Linked DNA regions of Oreochromis niloticus. The protein of the gene in region 3 interacts with the protein of the main gene of each other region in a pairwise test. Links are inferred from orthologs where the notes say so. Each region holds a gene or a part of one and is shown on either strand. Other genes may lie near its edges.

The links.
Region 1: the proteins of kpna5 (region 3) and anp32b interact in binary tests that used the Homo sapiens proteins (3 or more experiments, as listed by UniProt). The two-hybrid records come from large-scale screens. The link is inferred for Oreochromis niloticus from reciprocal best matches to the Homo sapiens genes KPNA5 and ANP32B.
Region 2: the proteins of kpna5 (region 3) and nup50 interact in binary tests that used the Homo sapiens proteins (3 or more experiments, as listed by UniProt). The two-hybrid records come from large-scale screens. The link is inferred for Oreochromis niloticus from reciprocal best matches to the Homo sapiens genes KPNA5 and NUP50.

The regions. Positions count from the first base shown.
Region 1 is NC_031971.2:17,395,293-17,403,302, forward strand, and holds the start of anp32b (acidic leucine-rich nuclear phosphoprotein 32 family member B), read right to left. Parts: upstream 3,011-8,010; 5' UTR 2,426-3,010; coding exon 2,372-2,425; intron 1-2,371. Other genes in the region: hemgn (formin-like protein 1), read left to right, coding at 4,686-4,749, 5,071-5,161, 5,553-6,100, 6,219-6,325. UniProt on the Homo sapiens protein: Multifunctional protein that is involved in the regulation of many processes including cell proliferation, apoptosis, cell cycle progression or transcription.
Region 2 is NC_031981.2:22,122,268-22,129,767, reverse strand, and holds the start of nup50 (nuclear pore complex protein Nup50), read left to right. Parts: upstream 1-4,464; 5' UTR 4,465-4,645; intron 4,646-6,268; 5' UTR 6,269-6,278; coding exon 6,279-6,347; intron 6,348-6,427; coding exon 6,428-6,511; intron 6,512-6,588; coding exon 6,589-6,787; intron 6,788-7,149; coding exon 7,150-7,500. UniProt on the Homo sapiens protein: Component of the nuclear pore complex that has a direct role in nuclear protein import. Actively displaces NLSs from importin-alpha, and facilitates disassembly of the importin-alpha:beta-cargo complex and importin recycling.
Region 3 is NC_031976.2:1,270,076-1,277,428, reverse strand, and holds the start of kpna5 (importin subunit alpha-6), read right to left. Parts: upstream 3,040-7,353; 5' UTR 2,936-3,039; coding exon 2,863-2,935; intron 1-2,862. UniProt on the Homo sapiens protein: Functions in nuclear protein import as an adapter protein for nuclear receptor KPNB1. Binds specifically and directly to substrates containing either a simple or bipartite NLS motif.

The DNA.
Region 1 (8,010 bases), on a different chromosome or scaffold from region 3:
AATAGTATTATTTAAAAATTACTTGTACTTTTTAATGCATTTGCAAGTACTACAACTACTTGCAAAATTTTTATACCTTAAGTGTATTTTAAAACAGACCAAATGTTAAATATTCCAAAATATATTTCGCAGATATTATAATTTTTTTTCCAAACAAAATCATTAAGAAAGGCGTTCGGGGAATATAGCAGCCCTAACGTATTAATAATCAGTGGGTGGTGGTGTTTGTAAAATGGCCCTTCACTTTGTGTAAAATGATTAAAGGCGTTTTATAGTTGCTTAAAATATTAGAAAAAACAACTCTGAAGGCGGAGTTACTTTGACTCCGTTAAAGCTCACACTGGTTGCGCAAGTCATTGTTAAACGTTACCAAAAAAGTTCTTGTCAAGCGTCAAAGACCGCCGTTTCTCGATTAAAAACACCAAAATGGATACTCAGTCTCTATCTAAAAACACTTTGCTATCACTGTGTGCTTCGTTTAACCGACCGCCACAGTTCGTCTATTGATTTCTTTGAAACGAGGAAGAGCAAAGCAGCGGCTTCCCATGGCCTGCTGATGCAGTCACTAATGACAAATGCAATGATTTTGTGAGCTAGCTCGCTACAGGCTAGCCATTGCCCCTTTTAAACGCTGCCGTGCCGTAGAGGAGCAGCTAGAGAGGTCTGTCTGCCCGCCATTAGCCAACCCAACAGCAACGGAAAGGATTGCGAATACACCCTTAGTAAAGAGATTCTTTTTTTCTTTCGTTAAACCAGCTTTCGTGGGGGAAGTGGAATATTCCTTGTCGTCGAGCGAATGACCGATATTGGCAGTTTGTTAGAGGGTACAGCATCGCTTTCAGGTCGAAGTGGCGAAGGAAATATATTGAGAACGGAAATTTAGTAAAAAACAAAGATGGAGACAGTTCCTTTCTCCCAGAGCTTCAAAGACGACAGAATGACAACATGGCGATTCCTGAGCTACAGTATGCAGTCCTCTGAACGCTTCAATGGCGGAAAGTGCTGTTAAGAATGAGCAATAAGCGTTATTTACATATAACCGAAAGTGTTTTTTCGGTGTTAAATTGATTTTATTTTGTGCATGATACGAGGGGGAACGCCGAGCGGGGAGCTTTTGGCTGCCCACGCATGAAGCGCGGTGCGCCGGATCTCCGTGTCATTCGAGCAGGCTGGCTCGATCAATGAAGCCGCTGGCCAACACATGCATCTGTGTAGTAGCAAGCGCCAAGTTTAGCAATAGTAACGATTACTGGAGCACACTGTAGTCGTGTTTGGTGTTTTTACTTTACAACTGGATAGATTTTGTTGTCTTTGACCGGTAGCGAGAAGGGGGTAATATGGCGGGAACCTAATACCAAGTTAGCTGGCTGGTAGTCTGAATGGTTCTGAAACCCCGGACCACCAGGCTTCATTCAATAAGCATGCGATTCTTCTTCGTCGTCTTTAAGACGATGCACGGATGATAAGTGATACTATAGCTTGGTGCACAACTAGAGAAGAATTAATGAGGGAATTAATTGATGTACACTCCCTTTAAAAACTTACAGATTGCAACGTGTCTTTAAACAAATCAGCACCAACAGCAGCGGTTGGCTGTTTGTTGAGTGTCTCCCGGCTCTAAGGTTTTGGAGTTGCGGTGTATTTTCACCATTAGCGGTTTAAGGTACGGATGACTCGTGAACCAAGTGTTTTTTGTTGTCGCTGCCTGAATCTTTGTGGCCGTTTGATGTAAACGTATACTCCACAGAAATGTGAACATACGACTCGTGATCTGCGACGGCCCGTTTAACGTTTACAAAACTCGTTTGTTGTTCAGCACCAGAGTTTAAAGTGATTTTGCAATTATTACACAAAAAAGCTCCCCCTTTTTTTCCTTTTTTTTAGCAGTTATGCTAGCAGCAAACATGGCTTCCAAGGTCTGTATAAAATATACCGCTCTGTGAATGCCGAACGCGGCGCAGGAAACTGCTTTCTCCTCATATCGGCGCAAAAAGAAGTTTACTAATTGTGCTACAACGGTGGAGTGTAGCTGAATCGTGTGTGCACCATTGACCAGGGAGGCTGCGAAACGGTTAAAGCACTGCAATAATGCCAGCAAGCTGGGGGGGAATCGCCGTTTCAAAGTAACGACTGAATATAGCTTTTCTCGTCTCGTTGCCCCTATACGCCCAATCCCAGCCAGCATAAAGGCTCTGGCTTGTTATGCGACTGTTTTCCGCCCCGTTATAAATGAGAAACACAATCAAAAGCCCATGTGGTCACCATTACGTTAGCCACACAGGGTCACTCGCAAAGCAAAAAAAGTAGCAAGCTAGGCTAGCAGGGGCTAGCCTGAAAACTAAGGGTTGGTTTTAAAAAAAGCACGACTCACATCAGACGGTGTCCTGTTTCTAAGCTCCAAGTGGATCCTCTTTTTCATGTCCATTTTGCCCTATGAAAGTTAAACTTTTCTCCTCGGGGTTTTGCTGGGATCTTCAGTCCAAAGGCAGAGATGCCCTAATGGAGGGAGAATATAGGACTGTATAATGAACTGAGCCAAACGCTAAGTTAGTCGGAGAGAGGGGAAACCATGGAGGGAAACGGGACTGAAACAAAATATATGCTCAACAGCGCCATCTGCGTCCAGAAACGCCCATCGCTTCTGAAAAAAAGGCATTGCAGTCACAAAACATGACGCTGCCCCGAAACGGTGCTATGGTGCAATTTATTCTATGCAAGGAAATTACTGTACTGTGTTGTTCAGTGAAGACGGCGGGGTTTTTCTTTGAGAAGTCGGTTTTATTCAGCGAAGGATGTGCACGAACAGACGCGTGTAGCGTATGCAAAACAAATAAGCAACCAAGCAATTAAACGGCGATAAAGTAGGTCACATGGTGAACTTTGTTATGCTTCATTTAAAAGTTTCACAGGAAATCTCGAATGCATTACTGCTTTATAGTCAACATATAAGCAGTGTAATTATGAGGTAACCATCATAATGTATGCCTATTTAAAAAAAAATATGTAAATATGTGTGTGTTGGGTCTTGTGAATGTGTGATACTTTTTACATTGTAATAAAAAAGAAAAATGAACAAAATTGTGTTGTTTCTTGGTTCCTAAATGGTTGATTCCTACCCCCAACCGCTAAAAAGGAGGGCTATATGTGGTTTGCCTTAAAGAGAGCATTGTATATACACATATGGACGGGTAGAGCACCCCATACAACCCCTCCTCTTTACTTCCTGACACTCTCCAGCGTTGAAGTAGAAAATCTACTGTGCTTGTAGTTTTTTTTTTCTTATGTTCTAAATTAATTAGTGAATAAGCTTTAATACTATAAATGAATAACAAATTATAGCCCGTTTTAAGTCTAGTAAATATAACAAATGTATAAATGCTAGCAAGATGTGTTTGCATAGTGTGCCGAGGGCAACCAATGCAAATACCCTAACTCTGGCCACATGCATGTTAAAGGCACAGTCCATACAGTGCATATATACACACAGACACTGTTTTTAAATCAGTGTTTGGTAGTTGAGAAGCAATGCCAGAAGATGGCACTGTAATATCTACACTGACATTCCTCACATTTCATTGTGCAACGGTGGGGCTGTGTGTGAATGACAGCCCTATCTGCTTTTGGCTGTAACAGTAATGCTGGAGGGGGTTTATTAATGTGTCAGTTGGAGTTTTATTAGCTGAGGAGTTAACTATGTGCAGTTTGGGATCTTTTGAACTGCTGGAACTCAACACTAGAGGTTTGGTTGATTGTGTTTTGTGATTTTAATTTGAGTGTGTGAAAACCTATACTTAAACATACATGTTTTCATTCAGCTTCTTAGCACTCACAGCTTCCACCGGTGCAGAATGTCTGTGTATAGATTCTCTTCATATGATGTTGAAAAGAGAGTGCATTACGAGCACCTTCATGCAGAAATCAGTACATTTAGAAAGAGGCCTTTCAACATTTCCCCCCACAGTGCTGGGAGCAATTGGCAGTTGAGTGTTATTTACTCTACTGGATAGCTCTTTTCTCCCTCTCTCTCTCTGAGTGTCTCAAACACACACACATCAGGGCTCAATGTGTTGTTAGAAGATTGTGAACACACCCCAACCGAGCAACTTGCCATCTGAGCGATAAGACGGGTATATGCCCCAACTCTGGACGAAGACAGGAATTTTGTTTGGTCTGTAGTGTGGTTTACCTACCAAAAAGGCATATTTCTTATGATTTGTGGATTAATATTATGAATATTCTACAGAAATATTTTGAGCTTTTGTGTTTTTTCTTGATATCATATTTAAAACTTAATAACTTCACATATATTGGACCCCTATTTAAGAAACTGTCCAAAAATCAGTCAAAGTCTTGCTCTTGTTAAGCTACAGCAGTGCCTTTAGATCAGCTGCTGAAGAGCTCTAGTACAACATATATATTTGTTACCCTATCATACACACACACACACACACACAGAAAACTTGCTGTTGTCTTTTTCCCCCCTGTCTGTCAGTTTTGTGCCAACTCCTCCAGCTTTACAAATATGATAAGACCAAAGCTGCAAGAACTCTCCCTGCACTGTGGTAATGGTTAACCAGATAATTCGTCTAGGGGTGGGAATAGAAAACTGTCAGAAGTTATTCTGTCGTCTTTTTTTGCGCTTGCCCGCCTTCAATGAGTTGAATTCATTCATAGCAGGACTCAGAATGGAGGACACATCGCAACAAGAGAAACAAGAGTTGGAATATAAAAATCCAAATGAAGAGGAAGGTAGGTTTTTTTTTTTTTAAAGATTAATCTCTTCTTTGGAAATCGGCTGCTCAAGCATTTCCACACCAAAAATGCTGAAGGAGCTGGTTATGTCTTTGCACACACTGCGGTGCTGGTGGTTAACTCAGAAACAGACCTTTGATCAACATTTAAGTAATATCACAAATCTGTCTGTTTTCAAAGTTTGCCAGTGTGTAGCTAGGAGAAGAAATATCTTTATATTGTCATGAGTCAAGCACATTACCCAGTCATGCAGTTTGTCTTTGAATTTCTAATGCACCATATGAACATGATTTCTGTGCACGGCTCTCTGTTTCAAAGGTGGGATCCGTCGCCGATTGCGAGACAGGGACCTTCTCAGGAAGAGAAAGGCCGAAGCAGAAGAGAAGGAAACTAACCAGTGGGTTTTTGGGTAAATTTGTAGCAAAAGCACAGACAATGTTAGCGCTGCTGCCTATGTTTACCTCTATGCTCATGGAGAAATCTACAAATTTCAGCACTTAAGTGCAGTAGAAGAAAGTGGTGGTCCTATCCAGAAAAGTTTAGTAGCCTGCGTTGAAACACTGTACAGTACAGTACATGCAGTACATGCTGAAAACACTATCAGCATTCTGGCTGCTTATCACTCCTCTGGTTTATATTGAATATGGAGCAAGAGGAAAGCAAAGGTTGCTCTGCTCTTTCTATTGACGCCACAGATCTGGGTCAAGGACTTTGTACTATTAGCTTTGCAAAACTGTCACAAAGAGCTGTATCAATGTCCACTGTTGTTGAAGTTAATTGCAACTGCGGTGCTCTCTCAGGGTGGAGAGCCAACGGAAAAGATCAAGAGCTGAGGACAAGAGCGGTGCGAAGAAGAGAGGGAGGCCCAGGAAGACTGAACCCACACCGCAGCTGTCTGCTGTTCAGGAAGAAGTCGAAGCACTTAAGGAAACTCCTGCAGTAGTGGTGGTACCCGAACCCGCTGTGGTCATTCAGGACCAAATAACCAGCTCTCTGCCTCCGCTGTTTGGGCTGGAATCACAACCAGCTTCAGTCCTTGCTGCTCCTGCTCCTGCAGCAGTGTTCGAGTCTGTGCAGAATTCAGCTCCTGCTCCAACTCTGGCTTTTGCTGCTCCAGTTCCCGTCCAAGATTCAGCTCCTGCTCCAGATGCTGTCTTAGTCCCAGCTCAGTCCCTAGACTCTGTTCCAGCTGTAACTCCTGCTCCTCCCTCAGCTCCTCCCCAAGTGGAGACCCTCTATACAGAGTCACAAAGCAAGGAGGCCCCAGGCCAGGTCCTGATTGAGGACTTAGGCCCAGATGAGGAGGAGGACGTCTCTCCATTGCAAGGCAACAAACGTGCTAATGAAGGTTTGTATGTTGTAAAAATACACAAAAACAATACTTTGAAACACTGTCTGGTTCGAAAGGTTTAATGATTATTAAATTGTCTGTCTGTCTTTTTTTTTTTTTTTTTTTTTTTTTTTAGATTTGAGTGAAACACTTTCGATCAACGTGCCTGAACAAAATAACGTGTACTCAGTTCCAACTGTCTCTGCTCAGCCTATGGCTCAGGAATATTTTCCAGGAAATTAATTGCAACATTTTTTTTTTCTGAAATGCACTGTTAAGATATTGCTTTATACATGCAAAGCCTCGTCACAGTTTGTATCTGAGTATTTTTCTTCTTCTTTTTTTGTGTAGTGTGCACACACAAGATGAGGCAAGTCATTGCTTATTTGAAAGATGTATGAATTCAAACCAAAGCTGTATGCTTATTTATTTTGGTTGTGCTTCACTGCAAAGCTTATGATCTTTTTTTTATATACTTTCAATTTAGTATGCAACCAGTTTTGCTGGCCTTTATTTAAAAGTTAAGGGTATAAATCGCTGGTAATTATGTATTCAGAATTGTGGATTTATTTTTACAGAATTTTGTAAAAGTTACTATTCGTCTAATAAAAGTCACTTCTGCATCATTTAACAGCAGTCGTTATTATAGGAGTCATCAGCTGTAAAATACATCCACACGCAAATACATGAGTGATATGAATTAGAATTAACTCTCTTTTCATTAAATGAAATAATTATGTAACCATTTTGTTCACATATGACATCTCTCCACTCTGGTGAGTGAAATTAAATGATGTTTGTTGTACAGTTTGAACAGCATATCTGTAGATTTAATCTGTGGCTTATCTGTTAAGTCACGTGTAGTGAAACATTTAGCCCTATCTGCTAGTGGCTACTGGTAGTGCTTATAATGTACTCATTTGTACTACATAAAGAGGTGGAAAAAGTACTGGTAAAAGCTGCAATAACTGATTAATTAGTGAAATGACAGAAAAAAAGGTAAAAGATGCTCTACTGGATTGAATGACTATGGAGGCCAAATTTAGTAAACGGAACTCACTGTGTTGTTGAATATACCAGGTTAAGATGATCTGAGCTTTGGGAGATTATGATATCCTGCTGGAGGTAGCCAACAGAAGATGGGTACAGTGTGGTCATAAAGGTGGACATGGTCAGGAGCAGTACTTGGGTAGGCTGTTTAGATGATGCTCAGTTGGTACCAAGGGGACCAAAGTGTATGAAAAATATCCTCCACACCATTAATCCACAAACATCCTGAATCACTGATACAAGGTAGGATGGATCCAAATTCTGGCCCTAACATCTAAATGTTGTAGAAGTAATTGAGACTCATCACACCAGGCAACATTTTCCCCGATTTTCCATAGTGCTGAATGAATGTATGTAGTGAAAAGTTTTAATATTCAACAACAGTGTTCAACAAACCAGGTTGAGGTGATCTGAGCTTTGTAACCTGGCATGATTTACTTTTGTAAATCAGCTGATTTAAGGATGCAAAAAAAATAAAAATAAAAAAAATTGACAAGTTGATTCTGTTCATCTGGATGTTGCGTTTTCAGTTGGAGAAATGTTTTGTCACTCAAAACAGTGACTTCTTCAGTCTCTGAAAACTTCTCCCACTGAAAACACTATGTCCAGATGAACAGAATGAACTTTTTCGATTTCTCTACCTGGATGATTGAGCATGCATCAAGACATTTTCACTATTGATTAACTATCGCTTTAATTTTTGCAAATTGTAGCCTCAGCCATTTGTTCTTAACTTAGATGTGGTCTTCCGATGCTGTAGCCTATCTAGTTCAAGGTTCAAGAAATGCTTTTCTGCATATCTTGTTTGTAACCAGTGGTTATTTGTTGCCTTGTTGCTTTCCTATATGCTCCTCTGAAGATTCTGCCATCAATAAGGC
Region 2 (7,500 bases), on a different chromosome or scaffold from region 3:
TTTCTGACTGTCAGCTCTCAAAGACTCGTTTTGAAATTGTAGTCTCAGCTCTGAGGTCAGTTTACTGAGCTCTTTGTTATTTATGAAGATTTTTCAGTTATGCTAGGTAATATCAAATCTAATTTTATTTATAGAACACTTTTTAAAAAATACTGTTGCTGTACAGTGCACCCGAACCCCATGCAACAAATCAATGAAACAACAACAATATTACAATTGTTATTATTTATTTTACTTTATGTTTTTTTAAGGCAACATGGAGGTCACCTTAACATGGGACGAGATATCATTCCACAAATTTGGGGGTGATAACTGAAAAAGCTTGATTGTCCCTGGTTTTTCAGCCAGGTTTTTGGGACTGCCAGGAGCAACTGGTCAATGGACCTCAGCGACACTGAAGGAACATATGGAGTCAGCAGCTCACATATACAGTATCTCTATTTTTGTAAATACTTTATTTTCATGGGACGACACTGAAGATATGACACTTTGATACAATGTAAAGTAGTCAGTGTACAGCTTGTATAACAGTGTAAATTTGCTGTCACCTCAAAATAACTCAACACACAGCCATTAATGACTAAACTGCTAGCAACAAATGTAAGTACACCCCTAAGTGAAAATGTCCAAACTGTGGCCAAAGTGTCAATATTTTGTGTGGCAACCACTGGAGTTCACTACATCTTCACAGGTTGCCGCAGCAATCCTCTTCCACTCCTCCATGATGACATCACAGAGCTGATGGATGTTAGAGACCTTGCGCTCCTCCACCTTCCATTTGAACATGCCCCACAGATGCTCAATAGGGTTTAAGTCTGGAGACATGCTTGGCCAGTCAAGTACCTTTACCCTCAGTTTATTTAGCAAGGCACTGGTCTTTTTGGAGCTGTGTTTGAGGTTATCATCATGTTGGAATACTGTCCCATGGCCCAGTTTCTGAAGGGAGAGGATCATGCTCTGCTTCAGCATGTCACAGTACATGCTGACATTCATAGTTCCCTCAATTAATTGTAGCTTCTCAGTGCTAGCAGCACTGATGCAGCCCCAAAAAATGACATCACACCACCATGCTTGACTCTAGGCAAGACACACTCTCTTTGAACTCCTCACCTGGTTTCCACCACACACCCTTGACACCATCTGAACCAAATAAGTTTATCTTGGCCTCATCAGACCAAAGGTAATCCATGTCATCAGTCTGCTTGTCTTCAGCAAACTGTTTGTGGGCTTTCTTGCTTTCTTGTGCATTGTCTTTAGAAGAGGCTTCCTTCTGGGATGACAGCCATGTGATGCAGTGTGTAGCATTTGGTCTGAGCACTGACAGGCTGACCCTCCACGCCTCCAACCTCTGCAATAATGCTGGCAGCACTCATACATCCATTTTCAAAAGACAACCTCTGGATATGACGCTGAGCATGTGCACTCAACTTCTTTGGTCGACCATCACCACCGTGCTGCAGCTCAGGTTCACGGTGTTGGCAACATTCTTATAGCATAGACCATCTTTATGTAGTGTAACAATTCTTTTTTCAAATCCTCAGAGAAGATCGATTCTTTGATATGATGTGCCATGTTAAACTTCCAGTGACCACTAAGGTTTGTCACTGTGCTTTAACATACAGCTGCAGAGGGCCCAGGTCCAAAAGAGAAGCAGCACACACACCACTGAGTCTGAGCACAATGACCCCAGTCTTACTTTAATTTAAATTAAAAGAGTTTTAAGCCATCCATCCTTCAGATTCTTCAGTAGAGATTTAGGGGAGCTGACATCATTTCATTTATGGGCATGTAAATGTGGGTGTCATCTGCATAGAAATAGTAGGCAAGGCCATGATTTTTCATTTGCACAATGACTTGAAACTAGCCCACTGATAGAACAACGGCTGTGAGGTCAATTGTTCCATCATTGTGCGAATGTACTGTTTATAAGGTTGGAGAAACCTGCAGTCAGATGAGACTGAAGAAGTCACTTGGACGAGTGACGAAACGTTTCTCCCACTGAAAACGCTACGTCCAGATGAACAGAATCAACTTTTTTGATTTACTGACCTGGATGATTGAGCATGCATCAAGACATTGCTGATGTGGTTATGAAGATCTCCTTTCAGCACACTCACTTCACCAGATTCACCTTGTTTCTTTTCCTCACCTTTGATTGGGTGCGGTGCTTCCCCTTAATTGCGCTCACCTGTCACCCGTTATATAAGGACTGCACTCACCTACACCTCACTTTCTTCACTCCCACATGGCGTGGCAGCTGAGGTGAGTTTCTGTTGAGTCTCCTGAGTTCATGTACTATTTTAAGTTACTGAGGGACTTAAATCACACTTTATTTCCTTTCAGAGTTAGCAGTTCATCTGTCTTTCCCTACTGATTATTCAAATAAAAGGAAAAACCTGTGATTGATGACTGTTCATTCTCATTCTGATCAAATGAACCCATGATGGTAACAATCTCAAACCTCCTCTGAGCCTTCCTTCAAAACAGATGTGTTTGTTGCAGTAACTAACTGTCAGCTGATGAGTCTCTGTAAACACTGACTTATTCCATCAATTTGTTCTTCTGTCTGCAGGTGGAGGTGATGGTAAACTGGGTGGTGTGTGTGTGCTGAGAGAGGATGAGCTGTGTCCTGCTGAGTCAGAGGTAAAGCAGCAGCAGCAGCTTGTGTGTAGAGACGTTCTGAATGGACCATGTTACTGGGCGGTGTAGAGGAGCGGTTCATCCGGCAGTGACTAACAGAGGAATGAGAAGTGCAGATGACTGTTAGTGCTGCAGAGTGAACTGATCTGGGAACAGCTCCACTGTCAGACACAATGCGGAGTCCAGCATCATCCCTGTGCGTCCCTCTGGATCTGATGGAGTACCTGGACTGCTCTGCTGCTGCTGAGTTTAGGCTGAAAGTCTGTTTCAAGTTAATCAATGCTCTAATCAATTGAAATTAACTATGGCGCTAACTCTGTCTGTCATTCTATCAGCCACTGTGATACTTTTTGCAGCTCATTTTTTGACTTATGTGAAATTGTATTGTAGGAACATGATAAATCTTTTTGTCTTTTTGTTTAAACTGAAGCTATTCATGCTTAAAGTCTGTGATTATTATAAAATAATCTTGGAGACATTTGTTTTCTAAGTAGATTGGGTTAATTCTGCAAGACAACTTTTTAGAAACGAGTATTAGCCCATTTATTTACACTACATACACTTAAAATGGCACCAAACACTAGGGATGACCCTGGTGTCTTCTACAGAATATTTAACACCAATTAACTTTTCCATCCTACAAATAGCAATGATCTGATCCTCTAGGCTCTTCATCTCACTCCTCATCCCTTCTACCGCTTTTAGTCAGTTTAGAGGAAAAAAAATTCAAATTTCGAGGTGTTAATTCTTATCATTATGTTGCCAGTTTTCACAAATCCTGCAGCTGCCTGGATGCTGGCAAGCTGCATCCTATGAGGTGCCTGAGCTCCTCGGGTACAGGATCAATCCTCCATCCCTGTACAGCAGTGGTGGCATAGCAGGGAAGTCATGGGTCCTTAAGCAACTACCGGTACATTAAAAAAGTAATTAATCAAATATTAGCTAAAAAAAAAAACTCCCATAATTGCTACATAGTTTAATGATTTTGTCTAGTAAATGAACTGGTTCTTGTAAAGCAATTATCTACTCTGAGTACTGAAAGTGCTTTATACAACATACCTCATTCACATCCATTTATACAAGCACTTTTTTTCTATTTATAAATGCTCTCTGACATTCACGTTGTCAAAGATGCATCGGAGAGCAATTTGTGGTCAGTATCTTACCCAAGGATAATTGGCATGCAAGCCGGAGCACCCAGAGATTGACCCACCAACCTTCCAATCAACAGGTGACCCCTTTCTAACTCTTGAGCTACAGACACCCCTATTTTCACTTGCTTTATGATTTTTCCTGGATTTGGACTTATTGAATTAGCTTGGAGTGTAGATAACATGGATTATTCAAAAAATTTTATTCTAATTTTTTCTAATTCTAATAATATCACAAGTGCTGCTGGCCAGAGTCTAGTTTATTTCTGAAAAATAAACATGTTTAATAATGAAGTTATTTCAGGATGATGGAGGATTTCTTGGTCAAACTTACGAATGACAGCTTTTATCCTGAAACAAGCTGCAGAGCTGTGGAGGTATACACCTGCATGTTTTACCTGTGCAGAGCTGCCCCTTCGGAGCAGTGGTGGTGCAGAGAGTGGCCACTGGGCCACAGATTGAAAGTCACCAGGCCTTGTGACCATTAAGCTGTTGCTCATTAAGCAAGACCCTTCACCCTGCATGTAAAGTTAAATAATCACCGGTGACATAATCAATATTTAATATGATTTATGTGCGTAGTATGCATTTATCTTTGTGTTTTTTAACCTCTTATTGTCGTTTTAAAAAATATATGGACTACAACTCCCAGACTAAAGGCCGCTTTGTGGTGCGCATGCGTGAAAAGTGGGCCGCGCAAACCCATGCGAATATACCGCTCTGTAAAATGGCGGTGTAAAAAGGTTTGTTCAAATACACAGAGCGGTGTTACCTGTTAAGGTGTTCAGCCAGACGTTACCTGGAGCTGTCAGAGGCGCGCGGAGGCAGAGACCGGACTTTGCGTTACAGACAAGGTGCGTCACATTTACCTGTTAACAAAAAGTCATTAAACGCCGGAAACGGGAGGAGCTCGTGCCATTAGCCTGCTGGCTAACATTAGCTGCTTGTGAGCGGCCCGGTTAGCTTGCTTGTTTAGTTCCGCGGCTAACAGCCAAAACATGATGTTAGACACCGGAGTGGAGAGGCCAACTGGCCTCGGTGTGTGCTCCGGTAATGGTAGGCCAGTTTATCAGGAGTCAGTTTTTCAGTAATCGGAAATCTGAGTAAAACGTTAGTTAGAAAATCTCTCGGCTCAGGTACACAGGTGATTGATTATACCCGGAAAGAAGCGCTAACCGAATCAGGCTAGTTGATGGTTAACCCGGATAAAGGCTGCCTGACAGGAGTGCTCAACCCTGTGCATTTGATTTAGTTAAACATCAGCTTTCCTTAGACCGCACTAGGAATTCACAGGCATGTTTCAACCTTTACACCATCCAGAATATTCGAACAGCAGCTCCACCACAGCTGTTTATAGTCGATTAATCGGTGATTACCGGCCTCCATTAATAACTAAACACCAAATGAAGCCGTGTTTTTGGCGAAAAGCTGTAAAGAATTTGGAACTTTTTATCATTTGACGCACTACTTTCTTTCAGTAAAATGTTCAAGTTATTTTTTCACATATTTTGAGGTGAAACCTTTTAAATGTTCAGCCTGACTAGCCGTCCAAAGCTCAGATTTACACCTGTTGTTTACCCGTTGCCTGTTCATCTGAATATCAGGTGTTTTATTGGAGAAAAAGCAGAGTGGTGTGTTCAGGTGAAGTAATACTGAAAGTAGGTGAGATAAAAGCTCAGGTTCAGTAAGTTAAGGTTCAGTCTGTGGGCAGCTTTGGACAGCCGACTACCTGCAGACAGTGACTGCTGTCAGGTGTGAGCGTTGTACGAAGGTCAGGTGCTTGTTTGTGCTGTTATGGTCCAACAGCTGTGGACAGCAGTGAAGTTCTAACACGCAAAGAGCTGAAGTGTTAGAAACAAGGAACTGTGTCCATTTTCCTTTATTCATGTCTCATCTTTGTTTGTTTGTTTGTTTGTTTTTTTTAAACCTTTTTCAGTTCCAGTTAAGTAAATCAATAAACATTTTCAATGAGCTGCATATATTATATGAATCTAGTCCACAGGTCTGCTAAAGTTAACATTAATTACTGAGTCATGACTTAAACATCATCCAGGAAGTTTGGTTTTATTTTAGTTAGTTATTTGCAGCATTCCAGATTCTTCCACAGATTTGTATTCTGGAGCATTGAGCCAGATCAAGAAGATGAGCAGAAAAATCGTAACAGTAGTGATATTAACAAGAAAAATCAACTAAAATAGTTTAGATTAAATAGTAATGGATTAGATTAAATAGTAATGGTAACAAACTGTCCCTAAAATTTTGAGTAATTGTGCTAATTACTCTTTGCAGAATACTTTACTTTGCATATGATAAACCGTTTTGTAAACATGTTTTTATTACAGTCCTAGTTTTTGCTTCTAGACTGAAACTTTTCTACTCCTTATTCAGTCCAATTCTGTAAAATGCTGATTAAGACACACTAAACCCTGAAAAAAAATAAAAGAGAACACAAACTGAATTCTTATGTTTTGTTACAGAGCCGGTGGGATGGCGAAGAGGATCGCTGATAAGGAGCTCACGGACAGGAACTGGGATCAGGAGGAGGAGGGCGAGGAGGTAAGAGGCCATGCTGAAGCTGTAAGTCTGGCTTCAGGAAGTTGGAATTATGTGAGTCTGACTTTCTTGTCCTCCTTCAGGCCGGGACGTTTTCAGTGGCGAGTGAAGATGTGCTTAAGAATCGAGCAATCAAGAAGGCCAAACGCAGAAACACTGGAACCGAGGTACGAGGAGAAAACCATTGTTTACCTGTTGCGTCTGATTATAATCATGAAGTAATCTGAGTGTTTCCCTGTTTCAGAGCGAGGGCAGTGGAGCATTTAAAGGCTTTAAAGGCTTCTCTTTGACCGCGGCGGCAAGCAGCAGCTCAGCTCCAACTCCCTTCTCCGGGTTTGGGAATGGCGGAAGCTTCAAAGGCCTCGGCGGTTTGACGAATGGGAACAGCGTCACGCCCTCCTTCGGAGGTTTCTCCTCACCTGCAGCGTCCTCGTCTGCACCTGGTGAGCAAAACATCGATCAGCTTGATCGGTTATTGATCGGAAACTATTTCCTCTTTATTTGCCATTCAAAACTTTCAGCTCAGAGATCCTCTTCGTCCTTCGAATGTGATCCATAAATGAGGTTTTTTTGTGTCTGTGTGTTAAAATGTCTTCATTAGTTTATAGGAGCTTTAAAAATGCTAAGAGATGGACATGATGATTTTATTGATCTCTTATGAGTGTAAAATGTGTTCAGGATGCTCACAGCAATTCATCTTTATGATCGATTAAAAAAAACATCAAATTTTCCAGCTCTTATTCTGCTTCTTTCTTTCTAAGCTGAGCTTTTTCTCCCATCACTAACATTTTCTCCTTCCTCGAAGGTCTGACCTTTAACGGGCCATCCTCGGCTAAACCCGCCGCTGATATTGCCACCAAGCAGACCAATGGCTCCGCCCCCAGTGCGAGTCAGAGCTCCAGCAGCAGCAATAAAGAGTACAGCCGGCAGCTCACGGCGCTCAACTGCTCAGTGCGGGACTGGATCACCAAACACGTGAACGACAACCCGCTGTGCGACCTCAACCCTATCTTCAGGGACTACGAGCGCCACCTGGCCAGCATTGAGCGCCAGTATGGCGGCGGATCAGCTGACGGAGGCTCTGAGGAGAAGAAGCATGGAGGGACACTGCCAGCCACAGCCGCAGTTCTTCCTCCTCCTTCATCTTCCTCCGGCA
Region 3 (7,353 bases):
CTCTATGTTTGAATGCTTCAGCACTCTCAGCACTCTCCCCAGAGATGACATCAGCTGCACACTCCACAGAGTACTGTGAAAGAATTGCCTGGAAATTAAATGTTGTCCTTGAAACAAGACTGAGGATGATATAAACCTGAAGATTTAAACAGTTTTAGATCCATGAGCACTCTACAGCTCGTTAGATCTAAAAACACAGCAGCAGCAGGTTTCATACAAGTGTAATTTGTTCTTTTGCATTTGATAACAGGATCCAAATTCCACATTAGAATCAGTATACTTTATTAATCCCTAAGGAAATGATGTGGTTACAGCTGCGCCAAGACAACAGGAGCAGACTGAACTAAATCAAATTATACATTATGTAACAAAGTTACAAAATAGAAGAAATACCTCAAATATAAATACCCAGAATATTAGAGAGATTAAATATATATGATGATATTATGATCGTCAACATTCAGCCTGGAAAAGACCTAATGAGGAGACCATCAGGACCAAACTGTGTCTCCTGGGTGCAGAGGTCTTTCATCACAGCTGTCCTGTGCCAGATCTCAGTGCAGGGATCAAGCAGGACTCGTAGTCTTTACCAGCACCTCCTTCAGTCCTGTAGAACGCTATACAGTAAAAATCTATATATTGTGGTGGACCACTAGAGGGCTCCACTCACACCCAGTGTTGAGGAAGTGTGTTCTTCTGTTTTGTGGCGCGATATGTCCAGTTGATGTTGGAGACAAATAAAGAAGGAGTGTGAACTGAGAGCTCTGTGTCGTAATGCTTACCTCCACATTGGTGACCCCGACGTGATCGAAACGCCGACCGGGGATACGGAAAGGTTCGAGGGGTGCCTGCGTGTGCCGGTGGATTTTTGAGCGTTGGCATGGGACACAAACCGCCGCCCATTCTTTCACCGTCTTGCGAAGGCCCGGCCAAACGAACCTGGCGCTGACCAGCTTGACCGAGGCCCGGACGCCGGGATGAGAGAGGGCATGCACCGAGTCAAAAACACGACGACGCCACGAAAGGGGAACCACCGGGCGGGGGCGGCCGGTAGAAACGTCGCAAAGAAGGCGCGGACCGCCGTCCCACACCGGGGTGTCCTCCAGCACGAGGCCCGTTTTCATTGACTGAAGCGCCAGGATGTCCGGGTCAGCATGCTGCTCGGCGGCCATGGCAGCGTAGTCGACGCCGACATACACTGGAGAAACCAACACACGTGACAGACAGTCAGCGACGTGATTGGACTTACCAGCCACGTGCTGAATGTCTGTGGTAAACTCCGAAATGGCCGCCAACTGGCGCTGCTGGCGTGCGCTCCATGGGTCAGAGACCTTGGACATCGCAAACGTCAAAGGTTTGTGGTCAACGTACGCAGTAAAGTTGCGACCCTCGAGGAAAAAACGAAAATGCCGTGTCGCGAGGTGCAGGGCTAGCAACTCCCTGTCAAAAACACTGTACTTGCGTTCGGCATCCCGGAGCGTACGACTGAAAAAGGCGAGCGGTTGCCAGAGACCTGAAACCCGCTGTTCCAACACCCCACCCACTGCCACGTCGGACGCGTCGGTGGTCAACGCGATCTCCGCCGACGGGAGCGGGTGTGCCAGCAGGGCGGCGTCAGCCAGCGCAGACTTGGCTGCGGAAAACGCATGGATGCGTTCCGGCAGCCAGTCAACCGGATCTTTGGCTGTTTTACCTTTTAAGGCAGCATAGAGTGGCTGCAGCAGGTGGGCAGCTCTGGGGAGAAAGCGGTTGTAAAAATTTATCATCCCCAAGAACTCCTGCAACGCTTTAACCGACGTGGGGCGTGGAAAAGCTGAAACGGCCTGGACTCTGTCGGGCAACGGAACCACACCTTCAGCGGAAATGCGGTGCCCGAGGAAATCCAGAACAGGCAACCCAAACTGGCACTTGGAAGGGTTGATGATCAGGCCGTGCGCTGCCAAACGCTGGAAAACCTGGCGCAGATGGGACTCGTGCTGGCTCGCTGAGCAGCTGGCCACCAATATATCGTCCAGATAAACAAAAACGAACGGCAGCCCACGCAAAACTGAGTCCATCAGCCGCTGAAAGGTCTGGGCGGCACCTTTCAGGCCAAACGGCATGCGCAAAAACTCGAACAAGCCGAAGGGGGTAATGACAGCGGTCTTAGGGACGTCTTCGGCGCGCACGGGAACCTGGTGTCGTAATGCTTACCTCCACAATATATTACATTGTCATTACTCAGATATGACTGACTCTGAATTACTTTATGGTAAATAACACACTATTGGCAAGACCCAGTGTGAAAGAATTCCTTGTTGAAGTTTTTATTTCATCAGGTGACGACCTTTGACCTTACATCAGGTTGTATTGAATGCTGTCAGAGAAAATCTCATGTTCTCTTTCTGCAGCTGACTACAGTGTTTAAAACAGAAGCTGTGCAGATCTGAGTTACTGTCTATGTGACATCATGGATGATGAATCATTTTGACTTTTTGTCTTTAACTTTAGTATAAGCAGGACTATCACCTCATCTCGTCACCATCCATCAGCTGATGATGCCAACATGGTTTTCTCTGTACAGTCTTTAATAGATGTCTACACCCAAAGAGCTCCCTGAATAAAGTACTTGGGGTCAAGTACACCAGAAATGTACTATATAGGAACCAGTCGTCATACAGTAGCACAGTTCTTGTCTAAAGAGACAGTGTAACACCTTCTGTCTTCATCAACACTATCAAAGGAAACATCACGTATGTAGTGAAACCATGTTGCTGCTCACTGATCACCTCTCTGAAGTTACCTTCAACCAGATAATCATTCTGTATTTGCTAACACTTAACAACCAAAGATTCCAGATTCTGATCCATCAGTCCATAATACCTTCTTCCAGTCTGCAGTAGTCCAATGGTGGTGTTTCATGGGCCAGCCAAGCCTCTTTGTCTGATTCTGACATCTGGCTTTCTTGCTGCAGCTCGTCCTGTCAAACCTACAGCAGGAAGTTCAATTCAATTCAATTCAATTCAATTCAATTCAATTTTATTTATATAGCGCCAAATCACAACAAAAGTCGCCTCAAGGCGCTTCACAGGTGCAGAGAAAAACCCAACAATCATATGACCCCCTATGAGCAAGCACTTTGGCGACAGTGAGAAGGAAAAACTCCCTTTTAACAGGAAGAAACCTCCGGCAGAACCAGGCTCAGGGAGGGGCGGGGCCATCTGCTGCGACCGGTTGGGGTGAGAGCAGGAAGACAGGATAAAGACATGCTGTGGAAGAGAGACAGAGATTAATAACAGATATTCAATGCAGAGAGGTCTGTTAACACATAGTGAGTGAGAAAGGTGACTGGACAGGTAAAACTCAATGCATCATGGGAATCCCCGGCAGCCTACGTCTATTGCAGCATAACTAAGGGAGGATTCAGGGTCACCTGGTCCAGCCCTAACTATATGCTTTAGCAAAAAGGAAAGTTTGAAGCCTAATCTTGAAAGTAGAGATAGTGTCTGTCTCCCGAATCCAAACTGGAAGCTGGTTCCACAGAAGAGGGGCCTGAAAACTGAAGGCTCTGCCTCCCATTCTACTTTTAAATACTCTAGGAACAACAAGTAGGCCTGCAGAGCGAGAGCGAAGTGCTCTAATAGGGTGATATGGTACTACAAGGTCATTAAGATAAGATGGGGCCTGATTATTTAAGACCTTGTATGTGAGGAGCAGGATTTTGAATTCAATTCTGGATTTAACAGGAAGCCAATGAAGGGAAGCCAATACAGGAGAAATCTGCTCTCTCTTTCTAGTCCCTGTCAGGACTCTTGCTGCAGCATTTTGGATCAGCTGAAGACTTTTCAGTGAGTTTTTAGGACATCCTGATAATAAAGAATTACAGTAGTCCAGCCTGGAAGTAATAAATGCATGAACTAGTTTTTCAGCGTCACTCTGAGACAGGATGTTTCTAATTTTAGAGATGTTGCGCAAATGGAAGAAAGCAGTCTTACATATTTGTTTAATATGTGCATTGAAGGACATGTCCTGGTCAAAAATGACTCCAAGGTTTCTCACAGTGTTACTGGAGGCCAAGGTAATGCCATCCAGAGTAAGAATCTGCTTAGATACCATATTTCTAAGATTTTCAGGGCCGAGTACAATAACCTCAGTTTGATCTGAATTAAGAAGCAGAAAGTTAGCGGCCATCCAGGTCTTTATGTCTTTAAGACATTCCTGCAGTTTAACTAATTGGTGTGTGTTACCTGGCTTCATGGACAGATAGAGCTGGGTGTCGTCTGCATAGCAGTGAAAATTTATGCTATGTCTTCTAATGATGCTGCCTAAGGGAAGCATGTATAATGTAAACAGAATTGGTCCTAGCACTGAACCCTGTGGAACACCATAATTGACCTTAGTGTGTGAAGAGGACTCTCCATTTACATGCACAAATTGGAGTCTATTAGATAGATATGATACAAACCACTGCAGTGCAGTACCTGTAATACCTACAGCATGTTCTAATCGCTCTAATAGGATATTATGGTCGACAGTATCGAATGCTGCACTGAGGTCTAGCAGGACAAGCACAGAGATGAGTCCACTGTCAGAGGCCATAAGAAGATCATTTGTAACCTTCACTAAAGCTGTTTCTGTGCTGTGCTGAGCTCTGAAACCTGACTGAAACTCTTCAAATAAGCCATTCCTCTGCAGATGATCTGTTAGCTGTTTGACAACTACTCTTTCAAGGATGTTTGATATGAAAGGAAGGTTGGAGATTGGCCTATAATTAGCTAAGACTGCTGGGTCTAGAGATGCTTTTTGAGTAAAGGTTTAACTACAGCCACCTTGAAGGCCTGTGGTACATAGCCGATTATTAGAGATAGGTTGATCATATTTAAGATCGAAGCATTAATTAATGGCAGGACTTCTTTGAGCAGTTTTGTAGGAATGGGGTCTAAAAGACACGTTGATGGTTTGGAGGAATTAATTATTGAAGCTAACTCAGAAAGATCAATTGGAGAAAAAGAGTCTAACTTAACATCGATGGTACTGAAAGTAGCTGTAGATAATATTACATCTGTGGGATGATTATTGGTAATTTTTTCTCTAATGATAAGAATTTTATTTGTGAAGAAGTTCATGAAGTCATTACTAGTTAACGTTAAAGGGATGGTTGGCTCAGTAGAGCTCTGACTGTTTGTCAGCCTGGCTACAGTGCTGAAGAGAAACCTGGGGTTGTTCTTATTTTCTTCAATCAGTGACGAATAGTAAGATGTTCTGGCTTTGCGGAGGGCTTTCTTATAAAGCAGCAAACTATTTCTCCAGGCTAAATGATGATCCTCTAAATTTGTGACATGCCATTTCCTCTCCAGCTTACGAGTTATCTGCTTTAGGCTACGTGTTTGAGAATTATACCACGCAGTCAGGTACTTCTGATTTGAGGCCTTAGTTTTCACAGGAGCTACAGTATCCAGAGTCGTACGTAGTGAGGAGGTAAAATTATTAACAAGATAATCGACCTCTGTTGGAGTAGCGTTCAGGTAGCTGCTCTGCTCTATGTTGGTACAGGGCATTGAAGATGATAACAGTGGGTGGATTATATTCTTAAACTTAGTTACAGCACTTTCAGAAAGACATCTACTGTGATAAAGTCTACTCTCCACTGCTGTGTAATCAATTATTGTAAATGTAAATGTTATCAGGAAATGATCAGACAGCAGAGGGTTTTCAGGAAACACTGTTAAATGTTCAGTTTCTATGTCATATGTTAAAACAAGATCTAGAGTGTGACTAAAGTGGTGGGTGGGTTCTTTTACATTTTGAGAGAAGCCAATTGAGTCTAATAACAGATTAAATGCCATGTTGAGGCTGTCATTTTTAGCATCTACATGGATGTTAAAATCACCCACAATAATTATTTTATCTGAGCTGAGCACTAAATCAGATAAAAAGTCTGAGAAATCAGACAGAAACTCTGTAAGGCCCAGGTGGACGATAGATGATAACAAGTAAGACTGGTTTCTGAGTTTTACAGCTGGGGTGGACGAGGCTAAGCATCAGGCTTTCAAATGAATTAAAAGTCTGTCTTGGTCTTTGGTTGATTAATAGGCTGGTGTGAAAAATTGCTGCCACACCGCCCCCTCGGCCTGTGCTTCGAGGTTTCTGGTAGTTAGAATGACTCGGGGTGTTGATTCATTTAAACTAACATAATCATCCGGCTGCAACCAGGTTTCTGTAAGGCAGAGTAAATCGATTTGTTGATCAATTATTAAGTCATGTACTAACAGAGACTTGAAGGAGAGAGACCTAATATTTAATAATCCACATTTCACTGTTTTACTCTTTGGTTCAGATGTGGATACTGTATTGTTCTTTCTTTGTGATTTTTTATGTTTAAGTTGTTTATTGCTGGTTTTTAGTTTGTTTTTTCTCTGTTTGGGAGCTGACACAGTCTCAATGGAGATGGGTTTTTGGGGGGGTAGCAGGAGGAGAGAAGCTGCAGAGAGGCGTGTAAGACTGCAACTCTGCTTCCTGGTCCCAACTCTGGATAGTCATATTTTGGGGGGTTTAATAAATTGGTCCATATTTCTAGAAATGAGAGCTGCTCCATCCAAAGTGGGATGGATGCCGTCTCTCCCAACAAGACCAGGTTTCCTCCAGAAGGTTTGCCAATTATCTATGAAGCCCACATCGTTTCTGGGACACCACTCAGACAGCCAGCAATTTAAGGAGAACATGCGGCTAAACATGTCACTCCTGGTCTGACTGTGAAGGGTCTTCTCTTCACAGCTGAAACTGAGACTTGCTTACTACGACCACTATCAAGCTGTGCTTGAAGCTGTTGTCCTGTGAGCCGCCTATCACACTGTAACTGATTCAGTCGTGTCTTTGGGTCTGCAGACCTTCCTGTCACAGTTTGTTTCTGAGCCTTTGGATGCTGAAGGAAACTGTACTCACTGACACCTTGACTTTCTTTGCAGTTTCTCTGTAGGACAGACCTACATTTATAAGTGTTATGATGGTCTGTCTCTCTTCCATTGTTAATGACCTTTTTCTCACCATTTCTGTACCAACACACTACTTTCTGCAGTACAGTACCGTTCATCTGATGCTCATCAGGGTACCACAGTGTGTCCAACAGACAGAGGGGGTTGGACCTGCAGGAATTAGTAGCACCAACTTTCAAGTCTCGAGTCTCCATTGCTGCAGAGCAGCTTTAAATTGTTAACCCATGCTGTGTTCCCTGAAAAAGACCTTTTTTTTTATAATTCTGAAATGTGCATTATTTTTCACTTTTGGTTTACCACATATTTTATTTCAACCTGGCAGTTCATCACTTGTTTGTTCTATTTTAAGATATTCATTGGACTTAAACTTGAATTGCATTAA